Linked DNA regions of Bombyx mori. The protein of the gene in region 1 interacts with the protein of each later gene in a biochemical or structural test. Links are inferred from orthologs where the notes say so. Each region holds a gene or a part of one and is shown on either strand. Other genes may lie near its edges.

The links. The genes of interacting proteins can lie anywhere in the genome.
Region 2: of the proteins of cell division cycle 7-related protein kinase (region 1) and DNA replication licensing factor Mcm6, one has a biochemical effect on the other in vitro, tested with the Homo sapiens proteins (2 studies listed by BioGRID). The link is inferred for Bombyx mori from reciprocal best matches to the Homo sapiens genes CDC7 and MCM6.

The regions. Positions count from the first base shown.
Region 1 is NC_085121.1:308,313-313,379, forward strand, and holds the start of cell division cycle 7-related protein kinase, read right to left. Parts: upstream 3,429-5,067; 5' UTR 2,999-3,428; coding exon 2,899-2,998; intron 1,919-2,898; coding exon 1,693-1,918; intron 1,271-1,692; coding exon 1,177-1,270; intron 29-1,176; coding exon 1-28. UniProt on the Homo sapiens protein: Kinase involved in initiation of DNA replication. Phosphorylates critical substrates that regulate the G1/S phase transition and initiation of DNA replication, such as MCM proteins and CLASPIN.
Region 2 is NC_085132.1:5,457,080-5,461,430, forward strand, and holds part of DNA replication licensing factor Mcm6, read right to left. Parts: intron 3,638-4,351; coding exon 3,456-3,637; intron 2,244-3,455; coding exon 2,128-2,243; intron 940-2,127; coding exon 814-939; intron 1-813. UniProt on the Homo sapiens protein: Acts as a component of the MCM2-7 complex (MCM complex) which is the replicative helicase essential for 'once per cell cycle' DNA replication initiation and elongation in eukaryotic cells.

The sequences.
Region 1 (5,067 bases):
CGGCCGCGTCCATGTCGCCCACGTACTCCTGGGAACGGATCCCAGCTCTTCCATATAATATTTTATTTAGTCCTACTGTACCCAGAGAAGGTAGATCGCTAACACTAGATCTAGATCTACCAGCCTGGTCAGTTACGTCGCTTAGTTTTTTTTCCTTCATAAACTGATGGTCTTGAGAGACCATAGCACGAGTAGTGCTTCGCAGAATCAGGACCCACTGAGAAGATCCGGCGAGAAACTCAGTGGGCTGAGTCTGTGGGTTAATTTACTCACCGAGCCCTTCGTCGCAAGCGACGGGTTCGACGAGAACGGTGACCGGTGCTTGAGGTACCTAAAAGCACCGTTAGTGGATCGGGAGGATCCTAAATGACGTGTTTTGGGTGACGACGACTGTTTACCATTCGGTCCGCAGGATCGAGAATGTGTCGCTTGTGTCGAATGTGTTGTGTTATATTAGATACTAGCGACCCGCCCTCGCTTCGCTACGGAAACATTAAAACACACATGAAACTAAAAAAAAAAAAAAAATTAAAAAAAGTAGCCTATGTTCATCAGGGACAATGTCGGCTTCTAATGGAAAAAGAATTTTTCAAATCGGTCCAGTAGTTTCGGAGCCTATTCGAAACAAACAAACAAACAAATCTTTCCTCTTTATAATATTAGTATAGATTTTCAGTACATGGTCGCACAACAGTTTTGGACTGTAAGGTGTGAAAGAGTTTTAATGTTTTGTAAAACTGTTTTCAACACAAAATCAAAGTTAATGAATTTATTTAATTTATTGTATTGTATATTGATCTGCCATTATCCTGGTCATTAAAAATCAAATCACCAACATCATCATTAATCAATTATCAAAAAAAAATATTCTACTCTTAAGCTTGTTTGCTTTTAGTACTTTGCATTGTGTAAAATATTAACTTTATATGATATTTTCTGAAATGAAAATAATTTCATTAAAAAACTAACTATTGTCATGGCAGTTTTGACACAATTAATGATTTTCTGTCTAATACTTTATGAAACTGAATGTTCATTAACACATATTATCTTTCCATAAGACTAATTTAGATTCAACTGAAACTTTGAGTATTATTTTTCCAACAGATAAGTAAATGTTCCATGATGCTATTAATGTTTGAAATATTGTTTATATAGATTGACTGACATACTCACAGAAAACTTTTTATGAGGTAGATAGGGCATTACAAATACAATAGTGTCGAGATTACGAAGACAGAGCTCCACTCCAATCACATGATGTTTGCCTCTGTAATATAACACACGTAAAATGTTCAATTAAATTAATGGATAAATACCTCTACACAAGCTAGACATTCAAACACACATTAACTCATGTGCCAATGTGGTACTATTCAGTTAATGATGGTCTTGTTACTCATAGCATATAGATATAAATTCAACAAGATTTAGGATTACGACTTAATAACCTCATCTGTAACAACAAATGATGATGTTCACACATAATGACGTGCCCTTGTGTAGATTTGACCTTGATCCATGAATGGCAGATTCCTGTGTCATTTTTAGATGAGCAGATGGCAACAACATCCCATGGGGTGATAAGTAATTACGTAGATTGTACTTTAAAATAAATTCTAGTCAAATAAATATATGGGACATAATGCCTGTGTATATTAGTAATGATGCAGATTCATTTTTAAAACATACCCTATGTCCTGTAGACACCTTAACTCGTGTTCAATCCGAGCTGGATGTGCAGTAGGTACCAAGTGTTTTATGGCAAACCAACGCTTGTCTTTGTCTAGCAAAGATGAATGCTGTCTCAGTGAGCCTAAATACACTGAACTAAATGTTCCTTCTCCTATCTTTCGGTGCACTTCAAAAATCTTGTCCAGTTTTGGTAGCTTATATAAAAGTTCACATATTTGTTCACCTAGAGATAAATACAATAATTATTTTAAATTATTAATGTACTTATTTATTGGATGTCTATGTGTTTAATGACACAGTTTTGTCTTCACTGTGTAATCGGGTGAACAATCTCATGTAGTATCTGATGTTAGGTGGTTACCAGAGCATATAAAAATCACAATGTGAATGCTGCCAATCACCATAAGACTTGAAAACAACTGTCTCAGTTGTACTAACTATTGTATAAGTTACATTTTTGTGTGTTTGATTCTTATTCACTAAGTTATGGCGGAAGTCATTCAGGAACATGTATTAAGTTGTGTGTATTTTATAAGAAAAAATTATACCTGTCTACTTCATTTCACCACAGGTATTATGGTGGTTATATAACAGATATAATAAAATAATTAGGTTCAATCTATTGAGAGATGGTTCTTCTCATAATAAGTGTAATATTAAGGCTAATACATAAGGTAATACTTTGATTGACATTCACGATGCTTATGAAAGTAATATGATCTATCTTCTATTTACAAATCGTTATATTTCTGTCTTTTTAAAAACGACTTCAAAAGGGGAGGAGATATACATTTTTTTTACTTTTCTTAGAACTTTTTTTAGGATATTTTAATGATTCTTTTTTATTTGAAGAGCGATGGTTCTCATGTGCTCCTATTTAAAGTTTATTGAGATCTGACCAGTAGTTTTTGAACTATGTATCCATAAGTGATGCAAATTTAATTGACTTCAACTAATTGAATTGTTTTGTACATATGTAATTAATAATAAATAACAGTAAACAAGTCATGCACGATCATCCGGCCCCAAATCAGGATTCCGTGATATGGGTACACGTTTGCCCGGGAGTCAAACCCACGAGCCCTGGTACAATAGTCTAGGGCGCTAACTACTGCACCACCAGGTCAGTCAAAGTACGTTAATACGATTTTTAATTTACTTTTTTTAAAATAATTATTCTTATTATTTTTTATCTAAACTTACGTTCAGAAGAATCAGAAGTCTCATTTTCATTTTTATTTTCTTTGAGCTTTTTATGAGAACGTAACCCTTCTCTTATTTCAAATCCCCTAGATCTGGACATATTGGTTTAATTTATGAGTAGTTATATTTCCTCATATGGGTTGTTTTGCTGAATATTGTAAATTATAAAATAAATAACACGGGAACGGAGAAACAAGAAACACAAAACAATTGAAATTTCTTAGTTTTCGAATACAAGAAAGCGAAGAAATCACATTGTACAGCCGTGACTCTTAATTTTATTTTCATGACATAAATTATCGAATATAAAAAAAGGCCTTATCTGTTACACGAATATTAAAACACAAGTGAATGAAGAGAACGAATATCCTAAAATGGATTATGGAATATCATGATGACGGAGTGGTTGTGGCCTATTTTTTTTTTTTTTTCTCCTACCTAAGCTGAGAGCCTTGAGAGGCTATGTCAGCGTAACCCTAACTTTAGTAGGTGAGCTCACGGGGCTCAAACCTGACGATGTTGCTAACACGAACCCTAGCAAGAGTCGTGCTTCGCAGAATCTACCACCGGATCGGAAACGCGACCCACTGAGAAGATCCGGCGAGAAACTCAGTGGGCTGTGTCTGAGAGTTAATTTGCTCGTCGAGCCCTTCGACGCAAGCGTCGGGTTCGACGAGAACGGTGACCGGTGCTTGAAGTACCTAAAAGCACCGTTAGTGGATCGGGAGGATCCGAGATGACGTGTTTTGGGCGACGTCGACTGCTTTCCATTCTGTCCGCAGGATCGGGAATGGGTTGTGGCCTAAATGATGCCCGATGCATTTATGTCGAACGATACGATAATACCAATATTCGAGTCCAGCAGACAGCAATTATTTTTTCTAGTGAAATACGTATCTACTTAAAACATATTCATGAATAACTTTCACGATGTTGCGAATAAACCAGATTCGGATGCGTCGTCTACGCCGCTACACCTAGATGAAACCCGAAATACAAAGTGGGAAAGTTATTTAGAAGGACTCGCACCTTTTCATCAAGCATATTGGCGACTAGCTAGGCGACCCTCCAATTGGAAACTATCGCCACTACGCATCTTTTCGTATGGGCCTCAGGCCAACTAGCAGATATACTGCAAGAGCAATGCTCCACCAGTGCTCAAACTGCTAATCCCGAACAGACGGAGTTGGTCGACAGGAAGCGACAAACGTCAGCCGGAGTCCTACAAGGCTCCGTTCTCTCACTACTACTTTTTAGCTTACAGTTGACTCTTTTCGCTAATGATACGCCTATCAAGTACTTGAAGTGTTGTAAAATTAAACCACCCGCACAGTTTAAAACACTATCAGTTTATTGTCAAAGAACAGTGTGCTTAGTGAGAGTTTTTTAACGTTTTCGATAGCGTAAAAGTTAACCCAATTTTGTCTACTTGGAACAGTGCCCCTAGCGGCAAACGTACTCAAACGATCCTATTCCATACAAATATAAGCTAACTTTTACACCATCCAGAACGTTAAAAAACTCTCACTAAGCACACAGAAAGAACACACACAAAGAAGGAGAAGAGAGTGAAGTTATGAGAAACATTTGTCCATTCAACACACAATTAATTATTAAAATTTAAATCTAGTTTTACATCTTACAATGTATGTAATAATTACAATATAATGTTACAAGTAATTTTTAACATGCTACATACTCGAGCAGGAAAATGTCGTTCATGCATTATAAACTAAAGATCGCGGCCACCACTTTAGGACAGTGGTTCCGGAAGTGGCATGCGCGTCGACATTAACCCCACGAAAATCACAGCCGTACTGTTACGGTGTGGATCCTTTAAAAAAAAGGAAGCTGTGGCTGGCACTGAGTTTATTTTCTAAAAAAAATAGTAAATAGTACAAACGATGTGTGTTTCCGCTACTCATGCCAAATCTGTTCTGCCGCGCTTTAGCCACAAATCGTCTTTATATGAAACGATGCACCTTAGTCTGCATTATTATTTATATTGCGTTATTATTGAGGAACATATGTAACAGTACTCTTCAAAAGAGTTCGCCCTCACGATACCACAGCTAGCATTTCGCCCAGAATTAAGTGGGGTAACGCCATGCCCGCCATCAAAATTTTGATGGCCGTTTGAGGGTAAGCCCTGGGCAACGTAGACCAAGT
Region 2 (4,351 bases), on another chromosome or scaffold:
CAGTAATGCGTTTCAGTTTGAAGGGTGGGGCAGCCCTTGTAACTATACAAGAGACCTTAGAACTTATATCTCAAGGTGGGTGGCGCATTTACGTTGTGGATGTCTATGGGCTCCAGTAACCACTTAACACCAGGTGGGCTGTGAGCTCGTCCACCCATCTAAGCAATAAAAAAAAAACAGAGTGTCCGGCCTCAATCCTTAGACTTGAACTCGACAAATACAGTGCTGTTCTGCACTGTATAAAATGTATGCGTTGTGTTCAAATTATTTTTAAGAATAATTACATTACATGACTCTACAAGAAGCAAAGATCTTTTTCTGTGTTGTGAAAACAAAAATAAGAAACGAAAACGAGTATACCCAAACCCAATACAAACATCTTGCATGTACAAATTAGATGGGACTCGATCGAACTAAACCTTTGTGTATTACTATTAACTATTATTAATATTATATTATTAATGAGTTTTCTTTCGAGTTCTGGACTCGGTTTAGTTCCTAGCTCCCGCCCTGAAACCTTCAGGGAAGAGGAGGTTCAGACTCCCTTGAATTTATGAAAACTGTATTACCCAAAACTTTACTTATTATTGTGCATGCGTGTATGGCTGCTTGTTTTTGCATTATTTGTATGTTTATATTTGCTTCCAGTTTGTTTATGTATCTATGTATACTTTTTGCCACTACGCCTGTTGCGCCTATTACTATGGCGATGGTTTCTGTGTGTGTATTCCAGAGTCGTGTTAGTTATATATTATATATGAATATAATATTATATTACTATATTATATATTATTAATATTATATAATTTGGACCTCTCGTCTCCGCTTCAGCCTCTTCCTTCCTCATGTACACGACCAGCATATTACTGAGGCTTTTGTATTCTTCGAATGAAAGCGCCAGTTTCTTTTTAGGCGCCGAATCACCATTGCTGGGAGTTTCTGAAATCGAATGTTAATGAAATGTGTGTAATATGAATCGGTTAGAAGAAAAACACAAGAATCGATTAATTGAATATGCAATTTCGGTTATTTTGTCAAATACGTTTTTTCATATACATGTAGTTTTGAGGCTTACCTACACCCATTTTATAATAATTCCAGTAATTTTTAATTGCTAATTAACACTAAAATATATCTCAAAAGTTAATATTTTAAATTTACACTGCTTTAGAAAATAATCAGTCTTTTTCATTTCCTGAACATTTTACATTTCCAGAGATGTGCCCTTTTCGAAATTGCATATTCAATTTTATTTAACAAATATTATGTTCAATGAACAATTCTTGACACTAGTTTATTACAGTTTTATTTTTAATGGACATTACAATTTTTCGGAATGAGTACCTTTCGACAGTTATATTTGGGATGGCAATATTATTTTTTCTTAACGCAACTGCTATTGTTTTTCTGAGAAAATATAGTTATACTATATCGTTTGCATCATTACAGATGTCTTCATTACCCTTGAATATCATTCGCATGGATGCAACAGAACGTCGTCGTGGCCTAAAGGATAAGATGTCCGGTACATTCGAATCCCGCAGGTGGGTACCGATTTGTTTAATGAAATACGTACTTAACGAATGTTCACGATTTACTTCCACGGTGAAGGAATAACATCGTGTAATAAAAATCAAACCCGTAAAATTATAATTTGCGTAATTACTGTTGGTAGGACCTCTCGTGAGTCCGCGCGGGTAGGTGCCACCGCCCTGCCTATTTCTACGGTGAAACAGTAATGCGTTTCAATTTGAAGGGTCGGGCAGCCGTTGTAACTATACTGAGACCTTAGAACTTATATCTCAAGGTGGGTGGCGCATTTACGTTGTAGATGTCTATGGGCTCCGCTGACCACTTGACATCAGGTGGGCCGTGAACTCATTCACCCAACTAAGCAATAAAATATTAAATAAAAATCTTGTACCTATATACTTAATTTTCGTATTGTAGACCTAGATTTTAGACTGTGTTTAGGTAAACAGTTTTTTTGAATTGATTCCAGACTTATCGCTTAAATATCTAAATTGGAATGCTTTTGTCCACCATGTTAGGTCAAAGTCTTGGTTCCAAGAATGATGTGGTCTATCAACAAATTAGTATATATGTTTAATTGAAATATTTAATTACCTGCAGTGCCATTAGGTTCGTCTTGATCCACATCCATGCTCGGCTCGCATTGAGGTTCATCCTCGTCCAAATGTATATCGGGCTGCTCCACGCGAATAATGGATTTATTTAGTAATCTGTGTGAAAAATATTTTATAGTATATAAGTGAGACTTTTTGGCGGGAACGCGAGGAGTAAAGTGGTGTGATTTGTTTTATTTTGTATATTTGGTGTTTCTTCAGGTTTAAGTGTGTAATAACGGTGGTTTATTAACTGTTTAATATCTGTTAAAGTGTACAAATGTAGGAAAATGAAACAGAGCTGCTGGACGTAACTTCTCAAGATCCTCCAAAAAGTTCACTGAAAAAATCTCAGTAAATGACCACCATTTTACTGAGATCCCATATCATTTATTTCATCCCATATCATCTCATCTCATTTCATTTAATTTAATCCCAGTTCATTAATGTCTCAAATTAATCATCTTCATTTCACTTCATTTCATTTCATTTCACTCCATTATCTTTTTCGTAAAAATAAGAATATAAATTAAAATAAGACTTGACCTAAAGGCCTTAATTACCGGGTCATAAAATCTTTTAAAAAATAGTATATAAGTCACAAAATTTAGGCACAGAGCGGGCGTTCTAAAAACACTTAGATGGATCGTGTAAAGAGGAAATGCGAGGGAAATGTGTGCGTGCAGGGATGAAAAAAGAGGACACGTTGCGCCGAATCCGTGTGGTGCGATAAGGACAAAGAAAAAATAATTAAGCACAGATGCATTATATAATAGTTCTTAGTAGTATCTTATATATCGACGGGAAAGTTTATATGGTTTAAGCGGCATTTTTGCGACTTCACAGGAGAGCCATTTAATGTTTAAAATTTGGAAAAAATATCATTACAAAAAATTTTCTTCAGCCATTTGTATAGAGTAAACTTAATTGAAGTTCAATTAAAAACATCGAATAGTTGATGCTAGTGTAGGGTGATACCACAGAGGGAAGATCTTGAACCAAGCGGATGATATTGCTCGGTAGACCGACGGTCCCAATGTTGTTCGTAACTTGTACAAGCTGATCTTGAAAATGTAAGCGAGATTCAGGCATTTGTCAAACATCTTCGCAGCAGTGAAGCAGTAATGCGTTTCGGTTTGAAGGGTGGGGCAGCCGTTGTAACTATACTTGAGACCTTAGAACTTATATCTCAAGGTGGGTGGCGCATTTACGTTGTAGATGTCTATGGGCTCCAGTAACACCTTAACACCAGGTGGGCTGTGAGCACGTCCACCCAACTCAGCAAAAACAAAAAACAAAAGAAAAGGCAGTGTCCCCTGCAGACCGTACCGGTAGGCCTCGTGCACGTGCGCGGGCGTGACGTGTCCGCTGCAGTGCATCTTGGCGACGCCCTCGGCGAGCCGCACCATGGACTCGAGCTGGCGCACCGTGATGCGCCACGCGCCGCCCCCCGCGCCCCCCTCACGGCCCCGCAGCAACGCGTAGTACTCCACCAGTAACTTGCCTGCCTCCTAAACAATACATGTTTCGTTTTAACAAAAACTGCCACTACATTACACATGACACAAAGCCATAACTGAGTTTCTCGCCGGATCTTCACAGTTTTTTTTTCTACCTTGGCTGAGAGCCTTGAGAGGCTATATCAGCGTAACCTTAACTAGTAGGTGAGCTCACGGAGCTCAAACCTGACGTCGTTGCTAACACGAACCCTAGCAAGAGCCGTAATTCGCAGAATCTACTACCCTCAGACACAGCCCACTGAGTTTCTCGCCGGATTTTCTCAGTGGGTCGCGTTTCCGATCCGGTGGTAGATTCTACGAAGCACTGCTTTTGCTAGGGTCAGTGTTCGCATTACTTCCGGTCTGAGCCCCGTGAGCTCACCTACACATCAAGGAGAATCAGCATAGGTAGAAAAAAAAAAGACAAAGTGTAAAATTTCTATACCAAGGCCAGACTTTATAAATGAACAACATTCTGTTGTTTTCACACAAAATCTAGTTACCTATTTTAAAAACTATACTTTAGCATATTATATTATAATTTATGTTGATTAACTCATTTAATGGTTAGGTTTTTTATGATATAACAAAAATATTAAGCCAACATTTAAATTAACTGGGTGCAGATAATGGACAGAGAAACATTTAAACTGTTTCAAGGCCATGACCACGACTCTCAGTAATGAGGAAACCGACGTAAGGAGGAGGAAAAGGAGGAGGAGGAGG